Mus musculus: one gene and its partners. The protein of the gene in region 1 interacts with the protein of each later gene in a pairwise test. Links are inferred from orthologs where the notes say so. Each region holds a gene or a part of one and is shown in the gene's direction. Other genes may lie near its edges.

Region 1 (3,656 bases):
AATTTGGAAGACATAGCGTAAGCCAGTGGGCAGGATTATACCACCTACTCCCTCTACCTGAAGTGTGCACTGCCTCGTCTTCCCAACGCTGGCTACTTGTTAGGCCTCCACTCACAACCTCTCCTCAGGGGCACCACTGTCTGCAGCTCCCCCACCAGGCCTGGCCCCTCTGAGCACTCTTGATCGGTCAGCTTCCTTTCTGTGCTAACAACTATTAGACAAGGCTTCTTCACTTGCATATCATTTGTTTCCCATAAGAACAGAAAAGACAGGAAAGAGAACTGTTTTTATTTTGCTCATCCAGCTGTTTCTAACATCTAGGAAAATGGGTGTGCGGTAAATATTTGTGTGTTACTTAATTCCTGGTTAAAGTGGAAGATGTTTCCATGGTAACCATTTTTTTCAAGAATGACCTTGTGGGACTGGAGAGGCAGCTCAGGTGTTGAGAGCAGCGGCTGCTCTCTCAGAGGACCTGGCCTTGAGTCCCAGCACCACATAGCAGCTGACAGTTCTCTGTAACTCTAACCCCAGAGGATCCAACACCCTCTTCTGGCCTGCAAGGGCACTGTAAAACATCTGGTGCATGAAGGCAAAACACCCATAATCATAAAATAAAAATAAATGAATGTTAAAAAAAAGAATTAACTTGGGTTTCCAATTTGGGGAGAGGCTGTTGAGAGCCCCTCCTCTCTCCCCCACTTAGTCCCTCCTTAAACCATAGTTTAGTGTGACCAAATTCCACTACACTTGTTTCAGCAAGTGTTACAGAGTTGTTACATCTTCCCAATACTGAGGGTTGGCCTAGTCCTGAGAAGACGCTTGCCTACTTTGCAATGAAGTTCTTACTCATACAAAGTTTTCCTTTCTAATTATTTTTAATGTAGTCATAATTCTTCACTAAATCCTTCCCACTCCACCCCACCCACATTTATTGAACTTTTTTTTTTTTTTCTCAAAGGGACTAGATAAACCCTCACACACAGAGAGAGACTTTCTTTGGAGTAACTCCATTCACACACCTAAGATGGCTGACTGAACATTTTTTTCCCCCAAATCTGAGCAGTGGGCTCAGGGAGATCCATGACAGCCATTAGCAGAAGCAGAAGGTTCTCCATGCTGCCCTGTTCTGTCTTCTAGTCACAGCGACATTTCCAGAACTATAGCAGGTGATGCGGTATTGCATGCTTTTGAAACTCTGGCTGTAAAACCAGTGCCTGATAAATAGAGCTATATCTCCGCCTCCAGGAGATGGACACCAACATATCAAACAATTTGTTTTATTATAAAGCTACTAGTTACTGGTAATCAGTGCTCAGTGGGAAAGGGCCAGCACGCACCCTTGCCCTCTGGGTTTTGGGGGGCTCCTCACTTTTCAATCCGTATCCGCTTTCTTGTTCTTTAGATTCTGGAGGAAGCCGACCACCGATTTTGCCACCGGGAGGAAGAGCCACATCTGCCAAGCCCTTTTCACCCCCGAGTGGCCCGGGGAGGTTTCCCGCACCCTCCCCAGGCCACAGGAGTGGGCCCCCAGAGCCACCCAGGAACAGAATGCCTCCCCCGAGGCCTGACGTGGGCTCAAAACCAGATAGCCTTCCCCCTCCGGTACCAAATACGCCAAGACCTGTTCCGTCGAGTCTGCACAACCGGGGATCCCCAGCAGGGCTGGGAGCCCCCAGGCCCCCCTTTCCCGGGAACCGAGGTGCTGCTTTTGGAGCAGGCTCTGCGCGCCAGAACCCCTCCGGCTCCTCCTCTCCGTTTCCTAGGCCCCCTTTGCCCCCCACCCCAAGCCGAGCCTTGGATGACAAGCCCCCTCCACCACCTCCTCCCGTGGGCAACAGGCCCTCCATGCACAGAGAAGCGGTGCCCCCTCCCCCCTCACAGACCAGCAAACCTCCAGTGCCTTCCACCCCGCGGCCTGGGTTGGGTTCGCAGGCACCACCTCCTCCTCCACCGCCCAGCCGGCCAGGGCCCCCTCCTCTGCCTCCAGCTTCCAACGACGAGATCCCCAGGCTGCCACAGCGGAACCTGTCCCTCACGTCCTCTGCACCTCCATTGCCTTCACCTGGACGCTCAGGGCCTCTCCCTCCCCCACCCAGCGAGAGGCCCCCTCCTCCTGTAAGGGATCCACCAGGCAGATCAGGTATGGCAACGCGGGGATGTCACCTCTCTAAAACCCTGCTCTTGCTCTCCCAAATGTCTCAAACAAAACTGAGTAAAGCCATGTATGCTGCCCCATACCGATGGTCTAATGTCATGGTGGAGCCGTGACCTCTCAAGAAAGGGGCCAGATAGTTTGTGTCTAAGAGGCAAGCAGACTTTCATCTTCCACCGGGCCCTGCTCCCTAATGGGAAGCTGGGTTGTCTTGGTTGGAAGTAAGTCCCCATGAGAGTGCCCATAATGCCAAAGACAAAGCAGTTACATCACAACCGGAATGAACTCTTTCCCTCTCCCTAGGCCAGGCTGAGTCTACATCTCTGCCCACAGTGCAGGCGAGCTGGAGAGGTGGCATGTTCAGAGGTCAGGAGCACTTCTAGCAGTGGAAACAAATACCTGGACAAAAGCCTGTAGCTCGGCTCAGAGAGCTGCGGGAGCCCCAGGCTCAGGAGGAAACGTACATCTTATTTAGAAAGTGGTTTCAAATGTGTTGGTAATACACACACACACACACATACATATATATATATGTATATGTATATGTATACACACACACACACACACACACACACACACACACACATATATCTTTATTTTATATCTAAGTATTTTTGAGACAGGCCCTCACATGTAACCCTGGTTAGCCTGGAACTCAATTTGTAGACCAGGCTAGCCTTAAACTCATAGAGATCCACCTCTCTCTGCCTCTGGAGTGCTGGATTGTATGTAATACTTTTAGTTTGCCTTTTCAGTTATTGCTCCTGGCACTGTTGTGACCAAGGTGACAACTACCTTATTCTTGGTAGACAGGGACCCACGCTCCACTGCCAAGAGCATACCCAGGAGCCGGACCCACCACCTACTGTCTGTAATGGGAGAGTAAGATCAGTGGTTTCTCATTTCCTGTGCCTCTCTACCCACCCACCCACACACATACTACACACACACCACACACACATAAACACAACCAACACTCACACATACATACAACCACACACACACACAGAGGAAAATACTGTACATGTAAAAACTTAGTACTGGAGCCAGCAAGGCAATGGGCTCAGCCAGTAAGGATATTTGTGGCCCATGCCTGACGACCTGAGTTTGACCCCTGGAATCCAGGTGAAGATGTAAGGCAAAAGTAAACTTTCTAAAGCTGCTCTCTGAACTCCATATGTGTGACATAGTGTGTGCACACATATACGCACAAATAATTTACATTTTTATTTTATTATATATGTGTGTGTATTGGTTTTGAGACAGGGTTTCTCTGTGTAGCCCTGGCTGTTCTGGAACTCTGTAGACCAGGCTGGCCTCAGAAATCTGCCTTGCCTCTGCCTCCCAAGTGCTGGAATTAAAGGCACGCACCACCACTGCCTGGTTTTAAATTTTTTAAAATCTAGAAATCTTAATTTTTCTAAAGGCCTAAACTAACTTTATAAGTATCTCACTCCTTTTAAACAATTCTTTTGTGGTATCGCAATAATTAGTTCAGTAAGTC
Region 2 (4,435 bases), on another chromosome or scaffold:
GTACTTATAATAATAAATAAATAAAATCTTAAAGAAAGAAAGAGAGAAAGAAAGAAAACAGAGACATAATCCACCAAAGTCCCCAGTTCTGGGAAAGTCTCTAGATGCATTCATCTCGCCTTTTGGCTTCTGTAGTTCTGTTGCTGTTTCTGCTAACTGGAGCATGTCGACCCAGGACGCGAATTTTGCGCTTAAAACCTCGCCCCGAGAAAGGCTTGATACTACACAGGGATCCTGAACACCCAGTGTAGTCACAGGGTGGCTAATAAAGACTTTCTCTTGGTAGATACCCCACAGCAAAGACACCGGACACACAGGTGGTACACAGATACACTTCAAGAGAAACATCTATGTAATAAAATACAAATGAAAATGTAATATTTCAGTTAACAAAAACCCAACAAAAATCCAGGTAATCAGAACAATTAACTCGGTGGTGGATGCCAGCCTAGGTTACATAAAATCTTGCCCCACCTGTCTCCTCTCTCACCCCTAACCCTCCACCCCAATGGTATAAACTGGTAATCCTAACTACTCAGAAGCTAAGGCAATGGAATTAAAAGTTCTTGGCCAGTTGGAGCATTTAAAATAAGACCCTGTTCCAAATAAAAACCAGAAAGGAAGCAAAATGGCTGGGAACATAGGTCAGTTGGGACGCCCTGGACTAGTCACGTTCAACTGTCAATCTTGCAAAACCCAGAAAGTTTCTGTTGTCCAGGCTACGGTGAGGTATGTCTACAATGCCAGGAATCAGGTGGCCAAGGACAGCGCTGGGTTCCAGGTCAGCCAGGGTTACTTACATAGATTCCCTGTTTGTTAATTCATAATGTTCAGTTTACTCCGTAGGGGAGGGGAGCGGGGGGGGGGGGATGGGAGTTGGTTCCCCATGGGGAAGACACGTAGGGACTCCGGAAGTTTTGAAAGGGTGTCAGGTTGTCGTGTGTCATGTCCCATGCTCCACTCCCGTCCCTCTTTCCAGTTTTGCTTCTTGGAACAACAGATGCCTTACAAAGGCCAGGGCATTTATACTTCTAGAACTGAGAACAAGGCCTTACAGAGTTGGCACAAGCTAACGACATTACATGGGATGCTCAAGTTTGATCAGTATACATCTGTGGTACCAAAACATCCTTTGCAAATTTGGGGACATGCTTAGAGTTACACGGTTTATCTGACACTCAAGTTTGGAGGGGGGGAGCGTACTGTTTTTTATCCAGCAACTCCTTCAAGACTTGACTTAACTGATCGGATGGTCTTCTCCCACCTGTACCATGGCGGGAAAACAACTGTACTTGCTTCCAAAGGCATACATAAAGACCCCGGGGCCCGGTGAGCCCTTATTTTATACGTTTGCTCGGGCACAGCCCGGGTGATCCTTGCAATCCCGGCCCTGAGCGGGTCAAACGCTCGCCGCCCGGGTCCTAGGTGGTCCGCACCTGCGCGCCCCGGCCAGCCTCTTCCGGGTCAGGTGACCGCGCACGCCCACGTGACCCGGCCCGAGTGCGGGCGCTGGAAGGCGGAAGTGGAGCGGAGTTAGGCGCCGCTGGTGTGGCCGCGGCAGGTAGGTGGCGCGGGGGCACTGGGGGGCTCGGCAGCGAGCGGGCGGCGCGGGGCAGCCAGGGGGCGGCGGGCGGCGCGAGGGGCCGGGGGCGGCGCGGGGCGGGCGCCGGGGGGCGGCGGCTTCCTGTGGGAGGGGCCTGGCGCGCGGTTCCGGCCTCCGAGGAGGGATGTCCCGGCTCGCGCCCGGGCGGGGTGGGCGCGGGGCCCGGCGGGAGTCGCCCGCTGGTGGCGCTTCCGGAAGGAGACCCCCAGCCCCGGGTGCCTGCGGTGCGGAGGAGCCGTGTCTGTCTGGGAAGGGGGCCCGACCTCAGCCGGGGAAGACTCATTTGCTCCCTGGAAGGGGCTGCCTGGGAGTGGGCGTCTGGCTTGTAGGGACAGGGAGAAAAAAATCTGGACGATGCGGCCTGGACCCCATTCCAAGAGTCTTTTTTCCTTCCGTCCTCTTTAAAAAGGATGGCGATCCGGGACTTTGATACCGGTTCTGTTCAGTTCTTTAAACTTCAGGAGGGATCCCTGAGTCTTGATCGTCTGACTCTGGTCACACCCACTTTGCCCTGTTTGGGTAGGGTTTCCACTTGTTGGGAACCTTGCCCATCAGATCGTCTTTCTTTGAGATGCTCCCGGATCGGGTCATCTTGGAGGCCACCAAAAAAAAAAAAAAAAAAAAAAAAAAAAAGACGTGTAGGTGCTTTGCTGTGATCATAACAAGACTTTTAACCTACACTGTTGTTGGCGACCTGGGCCGGCGTTACCTCAGCAACGCATTGACTGCTGAAGTCATGGACAGTTGAAAGTCTGCCCATACCGATTTGAGACCTCTCAAGCTTAAATTATGCAGCTTCCTTTACCATGTGACTGCTTATCTTGACCAGCTGTGACTAGGTGGGGTGACTGAGAAGTTTCTCTTGTGTTCCTTAGAACTGTGACCTAGATCGTAGTTTTTGAGGTTAAAAATACCCATCTTAAGATTCTTCATCCTCTAGGCCTAGGCCTGAAGATGGCTCCAAGTTCCAAGCCAGCCTAAATAAACAAACAGGCCACCCTCTTTTCCCTTCACTTTTGCTAAGGTTTGCAGAAGTGAAGCAAAGTTTATGAATGCAACGAAGGTCAGGGTTCAAATGGGACATTGACAGGAGCCAGAATCACAGGTCGCTAGGGGGGAAAAAGCACTTTGCATTAATATATTAGGAGTTGAAGACTTGGGGGGTATATTATAAGCATTTAAAAGTTAATTTTTGTAGCAGTCTCGAGAAGTCATTCACACTTTATAGATAACAAGCTAAGAGAATTGACTTAAAATAAAAGATGTATTTTTATTTGTGTGTATGTTCCTGTGTGTATGTGCCCACCAAGGACAGACAGAGCATTGGGTCCTTTGGAGCTAGAGATACAGGTGGTTGTGAGCCTCTGGATTTGCATGCTGGGAACTGACCTTTGGTCCCGTGGAAGAGCAGTGAGTGCTTTCGCCTGCATCTCTTTAGTCTCAGCCTGCCTGACATCCTCATTTTGTTTTTCTTCCTTGTTTACTGTCTTCCTGCTAGGACTGTAAATCATTCAAGGGCAGTGATCTTATTTTACCTGACTTCTTTGGCTACTAGCCCCAGGCCTGGTATGTTAGGAGTACTTGGTCAGTGTTTGAGAAGTAAATGAGTTTTTAAAGGTCACACTGCTCGGTGTATGTGGAGAACAAGGGGTTAGAGCATAAGTTTCCCGTCCCTTTCTCTGTTTAGTGTTACTGGTCTATGGAAAGCCAGAACCATGAGGAGAAGGCTTCAGTTGGCTTGTCAGTCTCTTAATTTTTTGTTGTTGTTGAACATTGCACCTTCCCACTTCCCTTCTTTTTGTAATTTTTTATTTTATTTTTTTCCTTTTGAGACAGGCTCTCAGTAAGTTGCCTGGGGTGGCCTCAAACTCCTGTAGCTCAGGCAGGCCTTGAACTTGTGATCCTTCTGCCTCCAACACAACAGTAGTTAGGATTTGAGGCCAATACCACCAGGTCTATCTTAGTCTTTCATTTAGTGACTACATCCCCATCTGCAAAGAACTGATACCAGATTCTCATTTATTTTTATTTTGGTTATTTATTTGAGACAAAAGTTTTACTGTGTAGACCTGGCTGGCCTAGAACTCATAAAGATCCAGCTGTTTCTACCTCCCAAGTGCTGGGATTAAAGCTGTGCGCTATTTACTATGCTCAACCTCTCTCCCTGTCCGGTCCAGCCAGTCCCCTCCCCTCCCTTCTCCCCCCTCCCCTCCCTTTCTCTCTGAGACAGGGTCTTTTAGCTTTTTGATAGAAGGTAGGTTTTAGCCCAGGCTGGCCTCAAACTGGTTATGTTGTGGAGGAACTTACGATAGATTCTCTACCTTCCAAGACCTGGGGTCGCAGGCCTTCATTCACCATTGTGCCTGGCTCAGCGTCTCGTCTCATTCATTTCCAGATCTCTGAAGGTTGCATTGCTTCATTCACAGATGAAGAACTGAGGCTTACTGAAGTCCTGATATTAGATTCTGGAACTAGTAAATAAATGCAAGAGTTGGCTCTCTCCTTCTATGGGTCCTGGGAACTGAGTTCCAGTTGTCAGGCTTGCTGGCAGTCACCTTTACCCAATGAGCCACTTTCTCTATAACCTAGGTCTGTTCTTCTTAGACCTATTACTTTTAATTCATAGAAGCGATAAAAAGTTTCTTTTTTTTTTTTTTTTTTTTTTTTAAAGTACAACTTCCATTTTATTTTTCCAGGGTAGTTTTCCTTCTGTCCTTACAAAACGGCCTCTTTACATGGGCTTTGGTGGAGGTCGAGGTGCAGCGCCAGCAGGTCTGAATCGTGGTGGGGGTGTTCGGTCCTTCCGGGCTTCGCGGGATCGATTCCTAACAA
Region 3 (4,237 bases), on another chromosome or scaffold:
GGGAAGAGGGTAAGAACAAAATGCTAAAAATGGGGTGGGTGTCTATAGAAGGGTCACCCTATGAAGCTCTCCCTTATTTTCTGTTTGAAAAATCTGTCTCCTCACATTATACACCATTCCTGTTAATCTGTCCCCCAGAGGCCAGGATCTGGGTGGTCAGGTGTAGGGGTGGTGAAAATTGGGATTGGTCCTCTGAACAATGGGCCAGGACTGCCTGAGGCCTGCTCTCTTACCCAGGTCCCTCTCTCCTCAGGACCCAGTTTCCAGGCCAGGAACAGCAGGTTCGGCTCATCTACCAAGGTCAACTGCTAGGAGACGACACTCAGACACTAGGCAGTCTCCACCTGCCCCCCAACTGCGTTCTCCACTGCCACGTGTCCACGAGAGTCGGTCCCCCACATCCTCCCTGCCCACCGGGGTCAGAGCCCGGCCCCTCCGGGCTGGAAATCGGCAGCCTTCTGTTGCCCCTGCTGCTTCTGCTGCTGCTCCTGCTCTGGTACTGCCAGATCCAGTACCGGCCCTTCTTTCCCCTGACCGCTACCCTGGGTCTGGCCGGCTTCACCCTGCTCCTCAGTCTCCTGGCCTTTGCCATGTATCGGCCGTAGTGCCTCCACGGGCTTTTGGCAGTGTAGCCAGCCCCTCTGGACCTCATTCCCCAAGGCGCAAAGGGAGCTGCTGTCTGCCCAGGCCCACTTCACCCGCTGCCTGTCTTTTCCCACTACCCTGGAGCCCAGCTTTGCGCCGCAGAGGACTTCGGGTGTTAGCGGAGGCCGCTCCGTGTGATCTTCATAGCTCTAGGCCATCTCCTGGGGCTGCTGGACCTCAGCCTTCGCTGGCAGTGGGCTCTTCTGGATCAGGCACTTGCTGTCGCTGCCTTGGCCGCCAGGGCACCCCAATGGGCCCATCTTAGTGTGCTGACAGAGGATCTAGATACTTCTAGTTTCAAAGAGCTGCCTAGGCTGAATTGGAAACTGGTGGACTGGGAGACTGGTGAAGGGGAATCGAGAGGGGCAGAGTTGTTTTCTGGAATTTGTGCAGATTAAAGAAACTGTGACGTTTTCCTACCCAGTGTGTCTGTGTGTTGCTTGAGGGTGGGGAGCCCTTGTTCTACGAGAATGGAACCTGCCCTAGGTCCTGAGTGCTCAAGCTACCCCAGGGCTGGACAGAGGACCGCCACTCCCGGCACCTTTCAGCGCAAGCTCTGTGGCCCCGCCCCCGCGACGTGCGCATTTCCCGGAAGCGGAGGGCGGGGCTCGCGGCTCCTCTGCTCGCAGCGCCTGCTGGGAGCCACGTCTCCGCCGCCCTGGCGCTGGACTGCGATTGGCGTCTGGGGGCGATCCGGGGGCTGCTGGGAAGATGGCGGACTCGGTGGCCCGCTGATGAGGAGGCCGCGGGGGGAGCCCGGCTCCCGGGCCCCAAGACCAGCTGAGAGAGTGACCTACGCGGGGCCCGGGGAGTCATGTAGGGTGGCGCCTGAGGGGCGGACCTCGGGAGGGCGGCGGGAGCTGGTGTTAGTGGTGGTGACCACGGGCTGCTCGCCTCTTGGGGCCGGGACAGGGTGTGGGGGCCCCTCCCGCGGACAGCATCAGCTCCGCGCCTTGGCAGATAGCTCACTCGGGCTCGGCGCGCGCCCCGCGAGCTTGCGCTGTGTTCTCATTTCACTAGTGAGGAGGCTTAGGCAGAGAGGCGAAGACATTAGTTCAAGGTCACGCAGCTGGTAAGTGGGAGCGCCCAGCATGGGACCCAGCACCGGCCCGCTACTGAGCCTGCGTTCCACCCACCCCGCCGCCGCCGCCTCCTGCGGGACGGGGAGGTGGTCTTCAGGGCTCATCGCCCGGACCACCGGGGCTCCCAGGCTGGGTGCGACCACTAGCCCTGTGAATGACCTCAGGCTTAACCTCTCCGCCGCTCTGGGCCTGTTTCTCCGCCTGAGAAATGAGGTAACAGCCCTGAGACTCCTCATCAGCTTGCACGGAGCATCGAAGGCGATATGCATGTGAAATGTGAATAGAATTGCACTGAGCACACTTAAAGAATTAGGGTTTCTGTGTCAAGGAATGGGAGAAGAGGGGCAGACTGGGTAAGAATACCAGGGCAATCACACGGGATTTTTTTTTTTTTTAAACTTCAGGCCCTTTGGATGGGGAGTCAGGTAAGGACTAGATAGCATATTTTTCCCCTTGGAGGAAACCTCACCTGGTTTTCTGGGCCACCCCCTCAGGGTCTCCACCACCCAGCTCCATGCTTCGAATCCTGCTCTCTGCCCAGACTTCCCCTGCTCGGCTGTCTGGTTTGCTGCTCATCCCACCAGTACAGCCCTGTTGTTTGGGACCCAGCAAGTCCGGGGACCGGCCTTTTGGAGGAGGCCCTGTGCAAGGCCTTCAACGGCTTCTGGAACAGGCACGGAGCCCTGGGGAGCTACTGCGATGGCTGAGCCAGAACCCCACCAAGGTGCGAGCTCATCACTACCCTGTGGCACTCCGGCGTCTGGGCCAGCTCTTGGTGTCTCAGCCTAGGCCCTCTCCTGTGGAGCAGGCCACACTGCAGGACTTGAGTCAGCTCATCATCCGAAACTGCCCCTCCTTTGACGTTCACACCATCCATGTGTGTCTCCACCTTGCAGTGTTACTTGGTGAGGAGGGTATTGGAAGGTGTGGGTGTTTCGGGAAGAATAGAGGAAGAGAGAGCAGTAGAGGACCCAAGCCATTGATAAAACTCATGTTCCCATTCACCTCCCCAAGCACATTTGCTGATTGCTCTCTGTATCCATGGTGGATGTCCAAGTCAAGCAGCATCTTTCTAACTGCCGGGTACTAGGTTCTTCCTAATACAGTGCTCTAGGGAGCCACAGACGTATAGTCTGTTATACTCGGCACAAGGTGACTTTTGTATAAGGCTTTCCCCACACACTGTTGATACATCATGCTCACATGATACCAAATCACTCCACTGAAACAAGTATTTTCCCATTCAAGAAACGATGACAAGGAATTTGGGGACTCATTCACTCCACTTGGCAAGATGGCACACCCCAGCTCTCTTACCAGGATGGTCTTCATCCCTCTCTCAGGCTTTCCATCAGATGGACCACTCCTGTGTGCCCTCGAGCAGGAGCGCAGGTCCCGTCTCCCTCCAAAGCCACCCTCCCCACATCGGCCTGCCATCTATGGTGGTCAAAGGTTGGAAGTGGCCCTGAGCTGCCCCCGTTTCCTGCAGTACCCTCGTCAGCATCTGATCAGAAGCCTGGCAGGTGCCAAGGGTTAAAGGCAGAAGGGAGGCAAGGGATGAGATGAAGCCACTGGGATGAACCACCTGGGCTAGAGTGCAATCTAGCCCACAGGAGTCTTCCTTGAAGACACTGTATGACAGGCTGTTCTTCACAGAGGCAAGGCCAGAAGAACTGACTCCTCACGTAATGGTGCTTCTGGCCCAACACCTGGCCCGGCACCGCTTGCGGGAACCCCAACTTCTGGAAGCCATTGCTCATTTCCTGGTGGTTCAGGAAGCCCAGCTCAACAGCAAGGTGGGCTGGCCCCCCACCCTTCCACGTTTCTCTGAGTTGTCCTTAGCAACTTGGTCAGGCCCAGCCCCTATCCAGCTTGTTTGGCTTCTCCTGGAGCAAGCATTCCAGCTAGGCTGTGTTCCTTACCCCAGGACATCTGTCTCTTGCTCACTGGTTTTCCAACTCCCATAATCAGTAGAGTAGTATGTCTAAGGCCTTGAAACTTTCCAACGCTCCTGCATAGCTGCTTAGTTCTGCTCTAGTCCTGTGAGCCATACCCCACAGTTATGTTCCTACTATGATATGTAGCTCAAGACACTGCTTAAGCTGCAGAACTTGGGGCATGTGCTGATACGGAGGGCATTCTGCCTTGAAAGCAATTACTGACTCAACCAGGCCTCCCTGAGGTTGTACCTATCAAACATGCCAGAGAGCTTGGCATAGTGGCATGTGCCTTTAATCCTGGCACAGCGGCAGTAGCAGGAGACTCTGGGTTCGAGGCCAGCCTGGTCTGCATAGCAAGTTCCAGGTTAGCTTTAGAGACATAGAAAGACCCTGTCTCAAATGGGAGAAAGTAAGAAAGACACAGAGCGGAGTTTCCTGCTGGATAATGTTGCCTTTTTCTGCAGGTGGTACAGAAGTTGGTCCTGCCCTTTGGGAGGTTGAACTACATGCCCCTGGAGCAGCAATTTATGCCCTGCCTTGAGAGGATCCTGGCTCGGGAAGCAGGGGTGG

What was found. The genes of interacting proteins can lie anywhere in the genome.
Region 2: the proteins of Wipf1 (region 1) and Wwp2 interact in binary tests that used the Homo sapiens proteins (3 or more experiments, as listed by UniProt). The two-hybrid records come from large-scale screens. The link is inferred for Mus musculus from reciprocal best matches to the Homo sapiens genes WIPF1 and WWP2.
Region 3: the proteins of Wipf1 (region 1) and Fastk interact in binary tests that used the Homo sapiens proteins (3 or more experiments, as listed by UniProt). The two-hybrid records come from large-scale screens. The link is inferred for Mus musculus from reciprocal best matches to the Homo sapiens genes WIPF1 and FASTK.

Annotation. Positions count from the first base shown.
Region 1 is NC_000068.7:73,435,438-73,439,093, reverse strand, and holds part of Wipf1 (WAS/WASL-interacting protein family member 1), read left to right. Parts: intron 1-1,402; coding exon 1,403-2,140; intron 2,141-3,656. UniProt on the Homo sapiens protein: Plays a role in the reorganization of the actin cytoskeleton. Contributes with NCK1 and GRB2 in the recruitment and activation of WASL.
Region 2 is NC_000074.6:107,434,881-107,439,315, forward strand, and holds the start of Wwp2 (NEDD4-like E3 ubiquitin-protein ligase WWP2), read left to right. Parts: upstream 1-1,489; 5' UTR 1,490-1,561; intron 1,562-4,269; exon of another isoform or gene 4,270-4,435. UniProt on the Homo sapiens protein: E3 ubiquitin-protein ligase which accepts ubiquitin from an E2 ubiquitin-conjugating enzyme in the form of a thioester and then directly transfers the ubiquitin to targeted substrates.
Region 3 is NC_000071.6:24,442,290-24,446,526, reverse strand, and holds the start of Fastk (fas-activated serine/threonine kinase), read left to right. Parts: upstream 1-1,291; 5' UTR 1,292-1,379; coding exon 1,380-1,461; exon of another isoform or gene 1,462-1,940; intron 1,941-2,131; exon of another isoform or gene 2,132-2,221; coding exon 2,222-2,632; intron 2,633-2,975; exon of another isoform or gene 2,976-3,021; coding exon of another isoform or gene 3,022-3,070; coding exon 3,071-3,250; intron 3,251-3,383; coding exon 3,384-3,523; intron 3,524-4,131; coding exon 4,132-4,237. Other genes in the region: Tmub1 (transmembrane and ubiquitin-like domain-containing protein 1 precursor), read left to right, coding at 254-605. UniProt on the Homo sapiens protein: Phosphorylates the splicing regulator TIA1, thereby promoting the inclusion of FAS exon 6, which leads to an mRNA encoding a pro-apoptotic form of the receptor.